Linked DNA regions of Rattus norvegicus. The protein of the gene in region 1 interacts with the protein of each later gene in a biochemical or structural test. Links are inferred from orthologs where the notes say so. Each region holds a gene or a part of one and is shown in the gene's direction. Other genes may lie near its edges. The genes, in order: Cry2 and Fbxl3.

The links.
Region 2: the proteins of Cry2 (region 1) and Fbxl3 form a complex in vitro, tested with the Homo sapiens proteins (2 studies listed by BioGRID, with this or other methods). The link is inferred for Rattus norvegicus from reciprocal best matches to the Homo sapiens genes CRY2 and FBXL3.

What each region holds. Positions count from the first base shown.
Region 1 is NC_086021.1:98,833,409-98,841,959, reverse strand, and holds part of Cry2 (cryptochrome-2), read left to right. Parts: coding exon 1-29; intron 30-2,186; coding exon 2,187-2,498; intron 2,499-2,707; coding exon 2,708-2,859; intron 2,860-2,981; coding exon 2,982-3,184; intron 3,185-3,438; coding exon 3,439-3,531; intron 3,532-4,347; coding exon 4,348-4,493; 3' UTR 4,494-4,495; intron 4,496-8,551. UniProt on the Homo sapiens protein: Transcriptional repressor which forms a core component of the circadian clock.
Region 2 is NC_086033.1:86,328,531-86,337,081, reverse strand, and holds part of Fbxl3 (F-box/LRR-repeat protein 3), read left to right. Parts: coding exon 1-74; intron 75-2,934; coding exon 2,935-3,057; intron 3,058-6,276; coding exon 6,277-6,448; intron 6,449-8,551. UniProt on the Homo sapiens protein: Substrate-recognition component of the SCF(FBXL3) E3 ubiquitin ligase complex involved in circadian rhythm function. Plays a key role in the maintenance of both the speed and the robustness of the circadian clock oscillation.

The sequences.
Region 1 (8,551 bases):
ACTACCGCCTGTGGGACTTGTACAGAAAGGTGAGGTGCAGGGAACATGCACTGTGCCAGTCATCCCAGAAAAGGCCCCTTCTCTTTGGCTTTGGGACTGGGTTGTGAGAGTTCTGGAAACACTTAGTTCAGAGAAGCCAAAGATGGTTTGTTTCCTAGAGGTGACAGCTGGGCACAACTGAGTCACCAATGTGAATGAACCCAGCTTCTCCTGTGTTCTGGAGACAAAAAGCTGGCCTTGGGGGCTTTAGAGCTGGTGTCCTCACTAACAGCTGATAAGGAAAGGCTTGGGACCTGGGGAGGGAAGTGAGTGTTGAGGCAAGAGGCAGTCATAGCAAAGGCTCAGCTGCCCTCACTGGAGCTGGGACTGGAGTTTAAAGGGAAGTCCAGAGCTGGCCTGGAAGGGCTGCATACAGGACCGGGCCACGCAGCCCACAGGCTCTGTCAGAGCATTCCACAGAGATGCTCCTTAGGTCATGTGGTGCCTTGGTATTTAGTGTTGCTTTCCCCAACCCAGCCAGTATTAGCTTCATGGAATAGGGTAGCTTGGTAGGTTTGGTGGCTAGGTCATCAGGGGAGGAGGAGATCATTGTACAGTGTCCAACCTAATCCACTCATGTCTTGGACTGTTGTTTATACATTATTTAACCAAAATCCAGACTTAGTACTTTGTAATATTTTTAATACTGTATATTCTGATCACAGCTCCCCATTCCCCAATTACTTCTAGATTCTCCCTACTTTCCACCCAGTCAAGCCCACAGTCTTTCTTTCTCTGTCTCACTAGAATACAAACAGACATCTACAAAAAAAGAGGAAGAAAAAAACCCCTGAACTGGACAGAACTAATGAACAGGAGGAAAAAGCCCACATATAAGCACATACATTCACACACATGGAAGTCCCATAAAGCACAGAACCAAGACTATAATATATATGCAAAAGACCTGCATGCTGCAAGATTTAAATGAAGGAAGGAAGGAAGGAAGGAAGGAAGGAAGGAAGGAAGGGTGGAAGGGTGGAAGGGTGGAAGGAAGGGTGAGCCCAGCCAAAGTATTATGAGACACCCCCACCACCCAAAAAAAAAAATCCTCCAAAAGCACCATTGAGTTTCCTTGTGTTCACCACCTAAGTCAGTGTGTATACCCGAAAAGACTGCATTGGAGAAAGTGAATTTCCCTGTGAGCACTTATCAATTGGAAGTAGCTTCTGGGTTAGTGATGGGTGTGTCCACTTCCTCTGATGTGGGATCTCTTCTGACTTAGACCTGTGCAGGCCCTGTGCGTGCAGCCAGTCTGCGTGAGCTCGCTGAGCTTCAGCCCTGCTGTCTAGCAGGCCTGGTTTCTACGCTGTCTTCCATCCCCTCTGACTCTTACAGTCTTTTCATCTCCTCTTACAAAGAGCTCCCTGAGCCGAGGGGAGAGATTTGATGGAGACATTCCTATTTAGGACTGAGAATCCTGAAGTGTCTCACTCTCTGACTTTGTCCAGTTGTGGGTCCCTGTATTTGTTCCCATCTACTGCAAGAGGAAACTTCTAATGATGGCAGAGCAAGACACTCTATGACTATCTGAATGTCACTGGGAGTCATTTTATTGCTACATTCCTTTAACAAAATGGTAATGTTTGGTTTTCCTATAGGTTCGTGGCCCCTGGGCAGTGTCAGGGATGGCCTCATCTCATGGAGTGGGTCTTGAATTCACGTTGTACCAGTGTGTTACAGGCAGGCCACCATTGTAGACCAGAGGGTTTGCAACTGGTAGCGTGCAGAGCACTGTGAGCTCTCATTAGTAGGGGAAGGTGCTAAGTAGACACCACTCGCCCTCTCTAGGTTCAGTGAGTTGTTTAGCTGTTCAGATTTCATGTTTTTAGTTGCTGACGATGTGTAACATCCCATCAGGTTTCTAGAAGGTAGAGCCACAGGATTCAGAGTAGTCTTGAAGAATTTGGTTCCCGTGACAGTTCCATGGCACCACTTATTCCCCCAACCCACCGCTTAAGCCATTCCTGTTGCCCAGGGCAGGGCTGCATGTTGCACACTGTGAATCTTTGAAGTATCGACCCTCTATGCACCTCAGGGATTTGGAGCCACGGCTCTTGGGAGACACTCCAGGTTGTTCTGTGCAGGAGACACAGTGCTAAGAGCCAGGCAGGCTCTCATCTCTGTGTACTGTGCCCTCCTCTTAGGTGAAGAGGAACAGCACACCCCCCCTCTCCTTATTTGGACAACTCCTATGGCGAGAATTCTTCTATACAGCGGCCACCAACAACCCCAGGTTTGACCGAATGGAGGGGAACCCCATCTGCATCCAGATCCCCTGGGACCGCAACCCCGAAGCCCTGGCCAAGTGGGCCGAGGGCAAGACAGGCTTCCCTTGGATTGACGCCATCATGACCCAACTGAGGCAGGAGGGCTGGATCCACCACCTGGCCCGGCACGCTGTGGCCTGCTTCCTCACCCGAGGGGACCTCTGGGTCAGCTGGGAGAGCGGGGTCCGGGTGAGTGCAAACTGGCCTGAACCCTGTGACCAGGCCTAGCCAAGGGCAGCTCCTTGTAGGCTGGGGCTGGGGTGGGATTCCTGGGTCCAGGAGATCCCTCTGCATCCTCTGGGCCCTCAACAGAAGGCTTTGGCGCCCTGAGGGTATTACAGATTTGGAAAGAACCAGAGGCGTCGGGTTTCCAAGGAGGCTGGTTTTCCCCCATCTAGGTATTTGATGAGTTGCTCCTGGATGCAGATTTCAGCGTGAATGCAGGCAGCTGGATGTGGCTGTCCTGCAGTGCTTTCTTCCAACAGTTCTTCCACTGCTACTGCCCTGTGGGCTTTGGCCGACGCACGGACCCCAGTGGGGACTACATCCGGTAAGGATGCACACCAGACTCTTTGACTCTGGACCACTGTGGCCTCCTCCTGGACTGGGGTACCCTAGACCCTTTAAAGAAGAGTCACAGTGTGCTGACACATTACCTGATGTGTGTTTCAGGCGATACCTGCCCAAACTGAAAGGCTTCCCCTCTCGATATATCTATGAGCCCTGGAATGCTCCCGAGTCGGTTCAGAAGGCCGCTAAGTGCATCATTGGCGTGGACTACCCACGGCCCATCGTCAACCACGCAGAGACTAGTCGGCTCAACATTGAGCGGATGAAGCAGATCTACCAACAGCTGTCACGATACCGGGGGCTCTGTAAGGACCCCTCCCCCACTGGCATGTCACTCACCAGGGAGGGCTTGACCTGAAAGCTTGTGCAGGTGTTTGCTGCCCCCAGGCCGTGGTAGACACTGCAGGCTGGGCCAGGGTGGGCTGCTGAAGCAGCTGTGGGATGTTGGAAAAGATGGAGACTGTGTCCTGGTCCTGCGCTCCTGGCTCATTTGTCTCCCATGACTTGCAGCCCTCTTAATCTTGTGTGTGTTCTGACTACCCTTTACTTAATCCCCCAGGTCTGTTGGCATCTGTCCCTTCCTGTGTAGAAGACCTCAGTCACCCTGTGGCAGAGCCTGGTTCTAGCCAGGCTGGGAGCATCAGCAACACAGGTGACCAGTCTGTGGCCTGTGCCACCACCACATTAGTCATTCAGGGCTGAGGCCAAGAGAACACTTGGCTGGGGAGGTTGATATCCCACCTAGGCACAGTCAGACAATCAAGTAAGGACATTCACCTAAGGATTTTAGAGGGAAGTAGCGCTGAGTGCTTGATGTGGGACTGGGGACAGGGCTCCTTTAGGATCAGCCTGAGGGCACCTCTTTAAGCACTGTTTAGCATCATCTTGATAAGAACCACGAAAGGAAGTAGCAAGAAGGCCCCAAAAGCAGGCTTGAACAGAGCCCACTCTAGGAGCAGAAGGATCAGAATCAGGGATGAGGGGAGCAGGGCAGCTTTGGCACAGGCTGCCCTGCCTTCCTGCACTGAAGGTAGTCAGCAGGGCAAGGCAAAACCCCACTGCCTGCCACAGAAACAGTAAACAATGGGGAGATGAGGAGGAAGGTGGCTCAGGGTGTGGGCAGGAGAAGCGGCAGGAAAGAGCAAGGGTGCTGGTCAGTTTGGGATGCTCCACAACATAAAAGTTGCCAAAACCCTGGGATTTTCCCAGGACTGCAAAGGAAAGCCTTACCCTCCGAGCAAGGACTGCTCTGTGCCACATCAGTCTCTGGCCCGGAGCCAGGGATCTGCGCAGCAGAAGTTGGCCCACTGCCAGCAGGCTGGGCCAGGCCTCCTCCTGCAGCCAAGTGAGGTCACCGCTGAAAAGGAGGTCAGGGCAGGGCTCCCTTCCCCAAGAGCAGTCACTGCACAGCACGAGACCATTGCGGTATGTAACCATGACTTGTTTCTGTGTGGGTCACTCTCCACAGGCCCCAGACCACTGTCCAGTGGCCCAGCCTCCCCCAAACGCAAGCTGGAAGCAGCTGAGGAACCTCCAGGTGAAGAACTGAGCAAGCGGGCTAGAGTGACAGTGACTCAGATGCCTGCCCAGGAGCCACCAAGCAAGGACTCCTGAGAGTGAGTCCGCGCAGAGGGGGGCAGGCTGTGGTTTAAAAAGCTGTCGCTTGCCAGATGGAGGTTCAAACAGCAAAACAGATCAAAATCTTATGGGGGTCCTATTTTAGCTCAAAATCCCACCATTCTGGCTTTCATACCTTCTAAACCAGTAGTTCTCAACCTCGTAATGCTGCAGCCCTCAAATGCAGTTCCTCACATCGTGGTGACCCGAACCATAGAGTTAATCTCATTGCTACTTCAGACATGTAAGTTTGCCCCTGTTGTGACTCATCATGTAAGCATCTGAGAGTCAAGGTATCTAATATGCAGTGCCCAAAGGGGTCACAGCCCACAGGTTGAGAACCACTCCTCTAAACCTTTATTGGAGGGGAGGGGGTGGTTCGTTTATTTGTTTGAGACAGAGCTTCACTGGGTAGTTGAGGATAATTTTGGACCTGTAGCAATCCTCCTGCCTCATACTCCTGAGTGCTGGAATTTCAGATGTGAGCCACCATGTCTAGTTTACCCTCTAAAACTTAAAAGGAGAAAAAAAATGTTTTTAAGGACGAAGGGTTTATTTTGGAAGAAATAAATTTAGAAGTTGAAACCCTTTGATTTATGGCAAGGGTGAAGTGGGAGAGGGGGTAGTTTTGTTCTTTTTGTTTCCTTGACCTTTCTGGCTCTTAACATGAGCAAAACATGAGGTCCTGATGTGAGGCTATGAAGCAGTGGTGGGAGGCTGTGTTCTGTAGGCAGGCCACAGGAGGGCGACACTGAGGTTCAGATGGCAGGAAAGGGCTCAGCCCAGCCTTGGGGGATCAGAGGGCCCAGTTGTCTCTGCCTCTGCTTGCAGGGTCTCTTCTCTTCTCACTGGAGCTCATCTTTCTGCATCCGCAGTCATTCACAGAGGAAAGAGGCAAACAGAGAGGGAGGGCGTGTCAGTGTCAGCCTCCGCCCTGTTCCTCCTTCCCGAGGCAGGAAGGTTTCTAGGCCAGCACTGGAGAAGTGTAGGTCGCCATCCTCCCAGTCAGGCTGTTCCCGACACCTGCATCAGTAGATTGGAGGTGCTTTCCACCATGGAACTGCTTGGGTCTTCTCTGGTCCTGATCACTCAGGGCCTCCCTCAGCGGGGCTTCTGCAGTGTCTTGGTTTATGTGCTTATCCAGGTGGCAGGCACTTAGTGCTTTGTCCTCTAGACATTGCCAGCAGGAGGACAAGGTTGTGCTGCCTTGTCCCTGGAAGAGCCACCACCATAGATGCCATGTTCTCTGTGGTGCTAAGCACAGAGTGTGATAGCTAATGAATTTGCTTGGTTAACTTCCTGCCAGGCTGGTGCTGAAGGACAGGAATTCCTGCAGAGCTGCTGGTCTTCCATATGCATATGTACTGGTCAAAGAAGCTGGGTTCTGATGTCAGTGAAGAATGGCAGCAGCAGCAGCAGAGTAGATGCCCTTAGCAGCAAGGAGCTCAGTCAGACAGAAGCAGCCCTGCTTTTCCCTCGGATCTCCATATCTGGGCTACTGCTGTAAGGCACCGCCCTGGGGAGACTCCTACCCTTCAGTTAGACCTTCTAGAGCATGTCCACACAGACCCACTTGGAGACAAGTCCCTTGCTCCCAAATCCAATCAAGATGACAACTAATATTAACCCTCATGTCTGTGAAATGCTTTGTAGCTCTTGTCACCTGCCCTACTGTTGGGGCACACAGACTAGGATGTCAAGGAGAAAGTCAGAAGTTTTATCTGAAAAGTCTAACTGAGAGAAGCACACAGGCAGAGGGAGACTCAGAGAGGCCTTGCATGTGCTTCCAAGTGACTTTGATCACATGACTGGTGGGTCACAGAGAGGAAGGAGGCTGTGGGCCCAGTCAGTTGTGTGGATGGGAAGATGTGTCCCCTTCTGCCTATCTCTAGTCATGTGACTTGGACTTGAGGCCAAGGGTCTGAGTGATCCTTCCCCGAGTTCAGTCTCTTAGCTCTGCTCTGCAGCACTGAGATCCTGCTGTTAATGAGCAGTCATTACACTTTAAATCAGTACTCCAGAAAAACATCTCTAGCTTCCATGCTCACCTTAAACCCATGCCAACCGAATGTTCTACATTTAGTTTCCACAATGTTCACTAAACTGAAAAGAGAAAACACTGAGCTTCCAAATAGCAATCCTGTCAGCTGCTGCTGTAACCCCCAAGGCTGCTGACACAGGATTCCATCAACATCCGGTTATGCCCTGGCTCCTCTCATTGGTCCAGTGATCTGACCACCGGGCAGCACTTGTGCTTCACCTCCCTGCCTAGCTAGCACTGCACTGCAATCTTTCAAGAGAAGCCCTCCACGCACAGAGGGCCATGGCTAAGGAGCCCCTTCCCTCACTGGTCCATGATCTGTTAGTGCAGAGGTATCCTTGCCTACACCATGACTTCCAGAATCCCCATTGTTCCCCTGACACTCGCTCAACTTGTACATGACAGGTGTATTGCTGACAACCTATCTGGTGTGGAGATGGAGCAGCCCAGCCCTCCCAAAGAGCTGCGTCCTGGGCCTGTGGTCCTGGCTGCAGAATATCCAGGGGTATCTTAGCTGAGTCTCGGCTCCTGACTTGGAGCCATAAGAAAGGTGGCTCAGTGCTTTCCATAAATGATAAATGTTGGTGGAGATGTGTTTAAACTGATCTCAGGAACATATAACGTGTACATGTGTTAGAACTGCACATGGTAAGCTAAGCATAGTGATGCCTGCTTGGAATCCCAGCACTAGGGAAACTAAGGAAGGAGGATCAGGAGTTCAAGGTCATCCTTAGTTAAATAGCAAATTCAAGGCCAACCTGGATTATATGAGATCCTGTGTATGAAGAGAAGAGAGATGGGGTAAATATTTTTCTAAAAATCACATATGTCATTATGTACAATTTTATGTGTCAGTTAAAATGAATTTAAAATAGAAAAAGGTATGTCCATCTAAGGAAAAGGTATGACTAGACACCGCAGGGCCTTTTTCAAGGGAAGATGACTGAAATGATACTTGGTTTAAAGAACAAGAACCTAGGAACTGCCCGCATGCTTCCACTTCTGCTGTGTATTCTGTCCAGCGTCTAAAATCTAGAGAGTATCACACTCCTCGTGCCGTTGGCTTTAGCTTCAGGGTGAGGCCTTAAAAGGATTGCTTGAGCTCTGAACACCTTTAGTCCTACCACCTAAGAGCTAGAAACAGGAAGGTCAGGAGTCTGAGGCTGCCTCCACTGTATAAGAAGATACCTGAAATAGGGTGAAGTGCTAGGAGGCTAGAGGCTCTCCAAATATGTCTGGGTTTTGTTTTGTTTTTGAGACAGGGTTTCTCTATGTAGCCCTGGCTGTCCTGGAATTCACTCTATAGATCAGACTGTCCTTGAGGTCAGAGACTGCCTGCCTCTGTCTCTTGAGTGCTGGGATGAGTGAGGTGTGCCCACCACTGCCCATCCGGCTGACTTTTAAGAGCGTCCCCATTTCTACAGTCTTTGACTTTATTTTGTTCAAGTTTCCATCTATGCTACTATTTTGACTTTCTTCCTTTTTACATCTTGTAAAAGTCTTGGTGAGGAGTAATATAAAGAGTCCTTACTGGTTAGAAACAGCAGGGACTGGGGAAATGCTCAGACAGCACTGGGGAGACAGTTTCTCCTCAGACAGCACTGGTTGCTCTTGCAAAGGTCCCAAGGTTTGATTCTCAGCACCCAGTGGCAGCCCAAAACCATCTGTGACTCCAGTTCCAGGGAATCCTGGCCGGTTTCTGGGAGCACCAGTTACTTAGGTGGTACACAGACATGCATGCAGGTAAAACATATACATAAAATTAATTTTTTCTTAAGCCCACAGGTTTTGAATCCTGAAGGCCTGGGAATTCCTTTCTCATTCTTTGTATGGACACTTGTGTTAGTTCAGTTTCTCATTTATGAAAATGGAGGAATAGCAGGTTGTCTGGGGCCTGTAAGGGCCACCATAGCAAAGCACCACAGAAGCAAATCCTTGGTTCTAGTATCTGGAGTTCAAGGTCATGGTGTCTGTGCTTGTAGAGTTTTTTCCCATTTTCTGTCCAAGTCAAAGT
Region 2 (8,551 bases), on another chromosome or scaffold:
AAGCTACACATCCAGAGCTGATCAAACAGATTATTAAGAGGCATTCAAATCATCTGCAGTATGTCAGCTTCAAGGTAATACCCCCACTCCTTCTGTTAGAAAATAGAAGCATGTTTACTGACTTTAATATTAACCAATACAACTTCTTATGTCCTTAAAATAGTTAAATTTTCAGGGAAAGTGCTTAATATTTTAAAATTATTGCATGCCTTAGAGTTCTTTACAAATAATTTTTATATTTGCTGGAACTAAAATAGTCCTTTACAGTTAATTTCTTAAAAGAGCAAAGGAAGCCACTAAGTGAGCATAAATAATTGACTGAAGTTTGAACTTAATGGTGGATGGTTGGCAGCAAATTTGAGGAAAGAGAACTAAACAATAAACATTAGGGCGGTGGGTCTCAGCCTACTGGTCCAGACTCCTTTAGGGTGTTACATTGTTACTTTATGAAGTAACTTTTATGGTTGGGGTCACAATAACATGAGGAACTGTATCAAAGGTTCATAGCCTTAGGAAGGTTAAGAACCACTGCATTGTGGCTGGTTTGGTTTGGGATTTGATTTGGGGGTGGGTTTTTTGGTCTTGTTTTGTTTTTTTGCTTTTTTTGGTTTTTTTTGTTTTGTTTTGTTTTGTTTTGTTTTGTTTTGTTTGGGGGGGTGGTGGTGGTGTTTTGAAACAGGGTTTTTCCAAATAGTTTTGGCTGTCCTGGAACTCATTCTGTAGATCAGGCTGGTCTCACTCTCAATTGCCTGCTTCTGCTCCTGAGTGCTGGGATTAAAGGAGTGCATGGTTGTGGTATGTTTTTACCTTAAAAACAAAACAAAAATATATAGAGACTAAATAATTTGAGAATATTTTAGAAGAAAACAGGAGGATTCGTGGAAAAATGGACATGTTGCAATGGACATACAAGATTCACAAATATTGAGGTGGGTGAGGGAGGAGGCATTTTGAGATCTGAATATATTGATTGCAGTAGCTCGTGTGAGAACAAAATCACACTGTATTTTGGAGAGAAGAAAGAAATATGGGATGCTTGCTGACTCCTTAACGCTAATTGTTTCCTATATGATTTCTAAATGGTAATTATTGTTAAAAGATAAAAGTGGGCTAAAAAGCATGCTGGGGAGTCTGAGGCAAGAGTCAACAGTTTAAGGCCTTCCTGCCCTATATGCAGTCAGAACTTATCTCTTCAAAATGGTAAAGATAAAAAGCAAAAACTGTAGTAAAAGGACAAGAATTGCCTGGTTTCCCTCTATTTTCTGTTTGCTAAAGGGCCATGATAAATCTGTTCTAAGCAGTGGTCCTAACCCAGAGCTTCATGCCGTCACTAGATGCTATCTTCCTTGTGAGGTAGGAGAGCTTGGTAGTAAGTGTGACTGAAGAGATTGTGTGCATAAAAGCCCTAGCTTGTTAGGCATAGCATTGTCAGTTATAGCCAAAGAGAAAGTTCTCAGGATACCTGTTAAGACCAGCCGGGGCTGAGGGTGAGTTCAATGCTAGCCAGAGATACTTAGCAGGAAGGACTCTGTGTCAAGAGGGAAAAAAAGGTGCCTAGTTCATTAATTTTACTGGACTTCACTGATAATGATTAGTGTGGATGCATCCCACAGATACCTATTGATAGAAATTATTGTTTTGTTTACCTGAAATTCCAATTGGATGTATTATTTGTTTGATAAGGGGTAGGATTCAAGCAAACAAATGTTGAGGAATTCCTTACCCCACTCCATGGAGGGAACCTGAAGTGCTTTCCCTTCGGTTTTATTCATCTTTGAGTTGCCCTAGAGCATTGCAATGGCAAATCTATAGAAAGGAATTGTAAAGATCATTCCTGCATATGGTAGGTCAGCTGGGTTCTCTGACACAAGTCAGCTCTGTCCAACATACATGACTCATACATCCAGCTGTGTTTAACATTTCTCATTCGGGATGTCTGCGTGTGAAGAAGTATTTTCTAATTTAGAAAGCAGACACATTGCAGGGATTATTCTGGCTTCTTAGTGGTCAGTATAGACTGAAAAAACTTAGAGTCAGATTTATTAGTCCAGATCAGTGCTTTTCAGACCGTTCAGTAGTCTCACCAAGGGAAGTGTAAAGCCAAAAACCGTGCTCAGTCCCCTCAGAGTCTCTCAGCCACGTGGTTTAAGCATAAGAATGGGAATGTCTTCAGTACTTGATGACTTTCCTGTGATCCGGCAAGTTCATTTTGAAAACTGTAATTAGTACGCTAGTTTCACACACTATAGCATTTAAGAGCACCTTTGGGATTCAGTAAAACACAAATTTAGAAATAAGAATAATGGTACTATATTTTAACATTTTTAGTCTAGAGAAAAACTGATGTTTCCCCTTCAGGGGTTGGTGTTTGATAATGTTGTTTTCTTCAAGAAACGTCTCAGCAGGAAGTGTGTAAGAGCAGCTGCCTCTATTTTGGTTCCTATTATTTTGTGCTTGTTTAGTTAGACACCCTTATTTTATTCTATATTTATCTTTCTATTAAAAGCATTAGAGAATTTCAGGTTGTGTGGTTCATCTGAGAATTCTAAACAAATAGATACTAGTTTCTTCTGGTGCCCTGAAACAGTTCATCATAGACACTGTTTACATGTATTATGTGATTTGACCAAGTACAAATTATTACTGAAACACAAAATTGATTGATTTTATAGTTAGTTTGAAATAAGTCAATTTAGTCTTACAGCACCAAATTTTTATATATATGTATATACATACATATATATGTGTGTGTATACTATAATGAACACATTCTTGAAAATTAGACTGAGGCTGTGGGACAGAAATGATTAAAAATCCTTGTCCTTTAAATGATAATGGGCCAAATTAGTAACTATATTTCTTGCCTTTCTAAGATTAAGATACTCAAAGAGAAATGTGGGTATGTACGTGAATAAGCCGTGTTTTCTTTCTAAGGTGGACAGCAGCAAAGAATCCGCTGAAGCAGCTTGTGATATATTATCGCAGCTTGTGAATTGCTCTTTAAAAACGCTTGGACTTATTTCAACTGCTCGGCCAAGCTTTATGGATCTACCAAAGGTATCTGCTGGGCTGGTGTATTTCCTTTTGCAGAGGAATCCATTGTTAGTGCCTACAGTGAGGCAGACAGGACAGCAGAGCAGGATGTGCACTGGAGAGCTGGTGGTGGTTTACAGTCTTGAGAAAGTATTTAGAATGCAATTTTAAGGAGTTTTTAATTTCTTAGTGTGTATAAGCATCCTATTTCCATGTAAGTATGTGTGCCTCATGTGTGTCTGATGCCTGCAGAGGCCAGAAAAAGGTGTCATATCCCCAGGATCTGGAGTTACAGGCAGGTAGGAGTTAGCATGTGAGTGCTGGTAACCAAACCTAGGTCCTGTACCAGAGCAGCAGTACAATATGCTCTCAAGCAGTACCTCGTTGTTGGTGATGTTAGAGCAAGTGACCTGACAGAAGGCCGTTGAGTAGTGGAAGTGCTAAAAGGAGCGAGTGGAACTGAGACTAACCGTGTCAGAAAGAGAGCCATGGGCACTGCTGCTTTCTGAGCCTTCAGATCAGGTAGGTGAAGTGAAACATCAGAAGTAGCAATGCAGGGTCGAGCAGGTGGGTGAAGTGAAACATCAGAAGTAGGCAATGAAGGTCATATCAGGTGGATGAAGTGAAACATCAGAAGTAGGAGTGAAGGTCAGATCAGGTGGGTGAAGTGAAACATCAGAAGTAGGAATGCAGGGTCGAGCAGGTGTACTCTGCTCAGAATGTAAACTCTTCTGGCAAATGTACTTTAAGCAAAGTTAATGTCTATAGAGTTTGGATTATCTGCCATTTAATTATTCTTAGGAGAATTTAACTACTGTTTGTGTTGGTCTATACCTAATTAAACAACAGTGTACCATACAAGTGTTCTTTTTAAAAACTTGGGGGTTTTTTGGTTACATTTAGTTGGTGTGTGTACACATGTGACAGTTGGGACAGCTTGCAGGAGCCTCTCTCTTTCTGCCACGTGGGTTCCAGGGTTGGGACTTGGTTTGTAAAACTTAGCGGTAATTGGCCTTGACCCACACCTGTTCTCTTTGAAATAGAAAACTTATCAGAATGCCTTTGAGAAGGCCAGAAAGCTGCTCTCTGGTTTGCACCCAGTAGCAATGTGTGTTTGTGTTACTGAGAATCGCATCTGTGGCCTTGCAAGTGTCCTAACCACTGAGCAGCATCCCCAAACTAGCTAATTGCAATTTGAAAAAGGAATTTTTAAAAGTATGCCACAAAGTAAAATAATGTAGGTTAAAGAAAAAAGCTTTATTTTTACTTTAGGTATGTACGTGTTTTTGCCTGTGTGTAGGTATGTGTGCTGTGTATATGCCCGATGCCCATGGAGACCTGAAGAGCATGTTGGATCCCTAGAGCTGCAGTTGTAGGCATCTGTGAGTGGCTGTGTGGTTGCTGGAAGAGCAGCCAGTGTTCTTAACTGATGGGCCATCTCTCCAGCACCAAATATGTAGGCTCGGCTCACAGTTCATTGTACTAGAGGGACTCAGGAAGTGTGAATTATAACTAGTAGGTAATTCTTCCAATTGAATAGCAGAACCCAATACAATATTGTGAGTTCAAAACCTCTAAGTTTCAGTAATCTTGTACATTTTAAAATAGAATGTTTTCTTAGGAGCAAGGAAGAAAAATGGAAAATAGAATCTGTTTAATGTACCTGAGTCAGGTCTCTGCAACTCTTAGGTCTGGCCATGTACAGATTTGGACTCTTACTCCTAAATTTGGCTGAGGCCAAGTCTTCTGTGGACAGTCCAGAGGATTCTAGGAGACTGAGTTTACGCAGTGTAGGGCCAGCTTTTTCAAGCCTAGTGGGAAATGAAATACTCTGATATCTTTTTGTACCTGCCATTATTTTTTAAATGTGGCTGGATGGTGGTGGTGGCACACAGCTTTAATTCCAGCACTCGGGGAGCAGAGGCAGACAGATCTCTGCGAGTTCTAGACCAGCCTAGACTACAGAGAGAGTTCTAGGACAGCCAGGGCTACATGGAGAAATCCTATCTTGGGGAAAAAAACAAAAACAAAAAAATTATCTATATAGATTAAACTGTTATAAAGTATTTTGAACATAATTTGATTTATTATTTGGGATCTCAGTTTACATATTATATATGCAGTGCTAATTTAAGAACTGTTGATGTAGCTGCTTTAGATGCTTATTGTCCTTTTTAATTTTTGTTTTTTAGAAAAGATTGAAATAAGATTTTCGCTATTCTGAAAAGAATTAAAAATAGAAGAAATATATGTGGCCATAACTACATCAGGACAGAGAGGAAAGACGTTAGTATGTAGTTATGGGCTTACTAGTAAGGAACTGTGGTCATGGAAGGTGCACTTGTTTGATTTCAAGATATATGATATTAATGCTTAAGGTATTTAAGCACAATTTTATAAATCAGTTGTTTAGACACAGTAAAGGAAAAGCAAGTTAAGGATTGTGAGCAGGGAGGTAGTTTCCCTTATGCTGCATTGTCTGTTAGGATGGCTTCCTGCTCTGATCCTGCTGTGGAGGATTTACAGAGGTAGGTGTAGGATGAGGTTGGCTCTGCGGATGTGTGCTGAAGCTTGGTCTTCCTTTTCTTCCCTGAGTTCTGTACCCATTGATTGCAGCTCATCTCAGCTCTGATTCACAGTGTGCGCTCTACATATGCTGTCGTTCTTGTTTCTGTAGAATTCCTTTTGATTAGGTCTGTGTTCAGTAGATTATAAGTAAAATACATTAAAATCAAGACTTGAAAATCTTTTAGATTCAGTGTTTTGAGAGGGTTTTAAGTTTGGAATTTTTAAATGGATTCTGGTTGTTTTAAAGTCTTTGTATGTGCTTCCATGGTTCAGTTGAGTTACAGCCTTTGAGTTGACTGACTTACATCTTGATGATTGTCCAGTATTTTCTGTTGATGCTCTTTCCTATGTGGTGCAGTGTACGGGACTTTAGCTTCCAGATATGGTGAGGTGTGCGTGTGGGGGAGACTTAGACTGGGTTATAGGTTCCTCTCTGACCTCTGAGGTTGCTGTCACGTAGGGTATTCTGAGGCTTGAAGTGACCCTTCCCTCCACAGGCACAAAGGCTTTTCTCAGAGTGCTCCCCTCTTTAACTGTGCTTTGCTAACCTCATGCAGGGCTGCTGCCTTCTAACAGTTTGGAAATTCTTTAGGGCACAGACAGACATGCGTGGTAAGGAAACCTTGTAACGTCATTTCTGAAGAACTGAAACTGTTTTAATCTTTTGTCTTTCAGTCTCACTTTATCTCTGCACTGACAGTTGTGTTTGTAAACTCCAAATCCCTGTCCTCACTTAAGATAGACGACACCCCAGTAGATGACCCATCCCTTAAAGTCCTAGTGGCCAACAACAGTGACACACTCAAGCTGCTGAAAATGAGCAGCTGTCCTCATGTCTCTCCAGCAGGTATGTCGTGTTTTTTCCAGACATCTTTTAGTAATTATATTGTTTCTCAAGTTAAGAAATTTGTTTATTTAATAGTTCTGCTAATGAACTTGTAAATGAATTAGCAAAACCATTTTTCTTCAAAAAATACTCAGTGTCCTAATGACAGTAGTAATATCTGCAGTATTCTAGCTTAGACTGACTTCATCCTATTTTCAAGTCATTTTATGTGGCAGATTGAGTAGAGCATGGATAAATGACTTGAGAAGAGAGGAAGGTTTCTTAGCTACTCGCTGCAGGGGCAGAGTTATCTGACAAAAGCAGCTAAGGGTGGATGAAGCATCTCTGGGCTCAGTTTGTAAGTGCTAGTCACTATGGTTGTAAGTGCTAGTCACTGTGGTTGTAAGTGCTAGTCACTATGGTTGTAAGTGCTAGTCACGATGGTTATAAGTGCTAGTCACGATGGTTGGGAAGGTTCAGTGTAGGACACAGGACAGCAGAGCCTCTTTGAAGGGTAGGGAAAGTGGACCACAGCTATAAAACCTTGGGCCTTAGCCCAGTGCCTCCTTTCTTTTAATCAGGCTCCACCAAAAGCTCCACAACCTTCTAAACCAGCACTAACAGCTGTGACCAGAGTGTTCAAGCATGAGTTTGTGAGAGACATTTCACATTGAAACCGCGAGGTGATGCTGTAAGGTCTGCTGAGAGAGCTTGTTGAGATAAACTAGAATCCCACTAACGTGAGGTGTCGGTGCCTTGGGTCAGAACACAGTTACTTCTTACATAGAGATGCATTTAAGTATGGTTGCCTTTTTTTGAGAGAGAATTCTCTTTAAAACTTAAATTGTAGGAATAACATTGTAAGAGGTCTTTCCAGCTACTTTATGTAGACTTTTCTAAGTTTAGTGCATTGTCCAGAGTGAGATTTTTTGAATTACAAGTGACTCGTTCATACTGAAGAGTATAAATGTGTTCTCATCCTTGTGCTGATGGTTCATTGCTGACCTCTCCGCTGCTGAAGCCCCTCCCTGTCTTCAGCGGTGTTGGTCAGCAGTCTGTTAGTGCTGGTTTGTTTTATTTTCCTAGTATAGCAAAGGATTGGAATTCCCTGAAATGACTGACAGAATAGTGTCTACGTCCTCATCACTAATCTTAGAACATCGTCAGTGTGACCAAAAAGCAGCACAACCGTCATGCTACCGCGGTCTAAGCAGTTCACTCAGCTGCTTCGCTTGTTCTCCCAGATCACCGAGGGTCTGGCGATCGGAGTACTAGGCGTGCTGTGTGTTTACCTATTGTCTCAGCCTCTTGTGCATGATCACTGAAAGGATTACAGAATAGAAGCTAAGAATAGACTAATAGACCTTGACAGTTAGTTTCTATTTGACCTTGACCACATTTTATTGTCTGCTGTGAGTAAGGTCTGTCTTCCTCAGGTTCATAGTGTACAAGGTCCTTTGTCCCTAACCTCCACCCACCTTGTTTGCTCTTCACTCCCATGTCCTGCGAGCTGTGAGCCCTAGAGAAGTGGACTTGTTTTGACCTCCAGTCAGCACTCTGTGCCTTGTGAAATAGTCTGTAAACTTTTTAACCTACTCATCAACACATCATCATCATAAAACTTTTACTGAAAAAGAATTTATGAGCCAGGTGTGGTAGTGCACACCTTTAATCCCAGCACTTGGGAGGCAGAGGCAGGTGGATCTCTGTGAGTTCGAGGGCAATCTAGTCTACAAAGGAAGTTCCAGGACAGCCAGGGTGATTGTACAGATAGACCCTGTCTCAAAAACAACAACAACAGGGGCTGGGGATTTAGCTCAGTGGTAGAGCGCTTACCTAGGAAGCGCAAGGCCCTGGGTTTCGGTCCCCAGCTCCGAAAAAAAAGAACCAAAAAAAAAAAAAAAACAACAAAGAGGGAGGGTGGGATGTATGTACCGTATAATTCACAGTTCATGTGAAACATGATTCTTGACTTTCAGTGTGCGACAAAATAGTGTCTGCATCCTCATCACTTAGAACATTGTCGGTGTGACCAAAATGAAGCATGACTCATGCTGCCCAGGTCTAAGCAAAACTATTGCATTTCTGTCTCTGTAGTTTGTCTGTATTGGGTAGTCCCTTGAC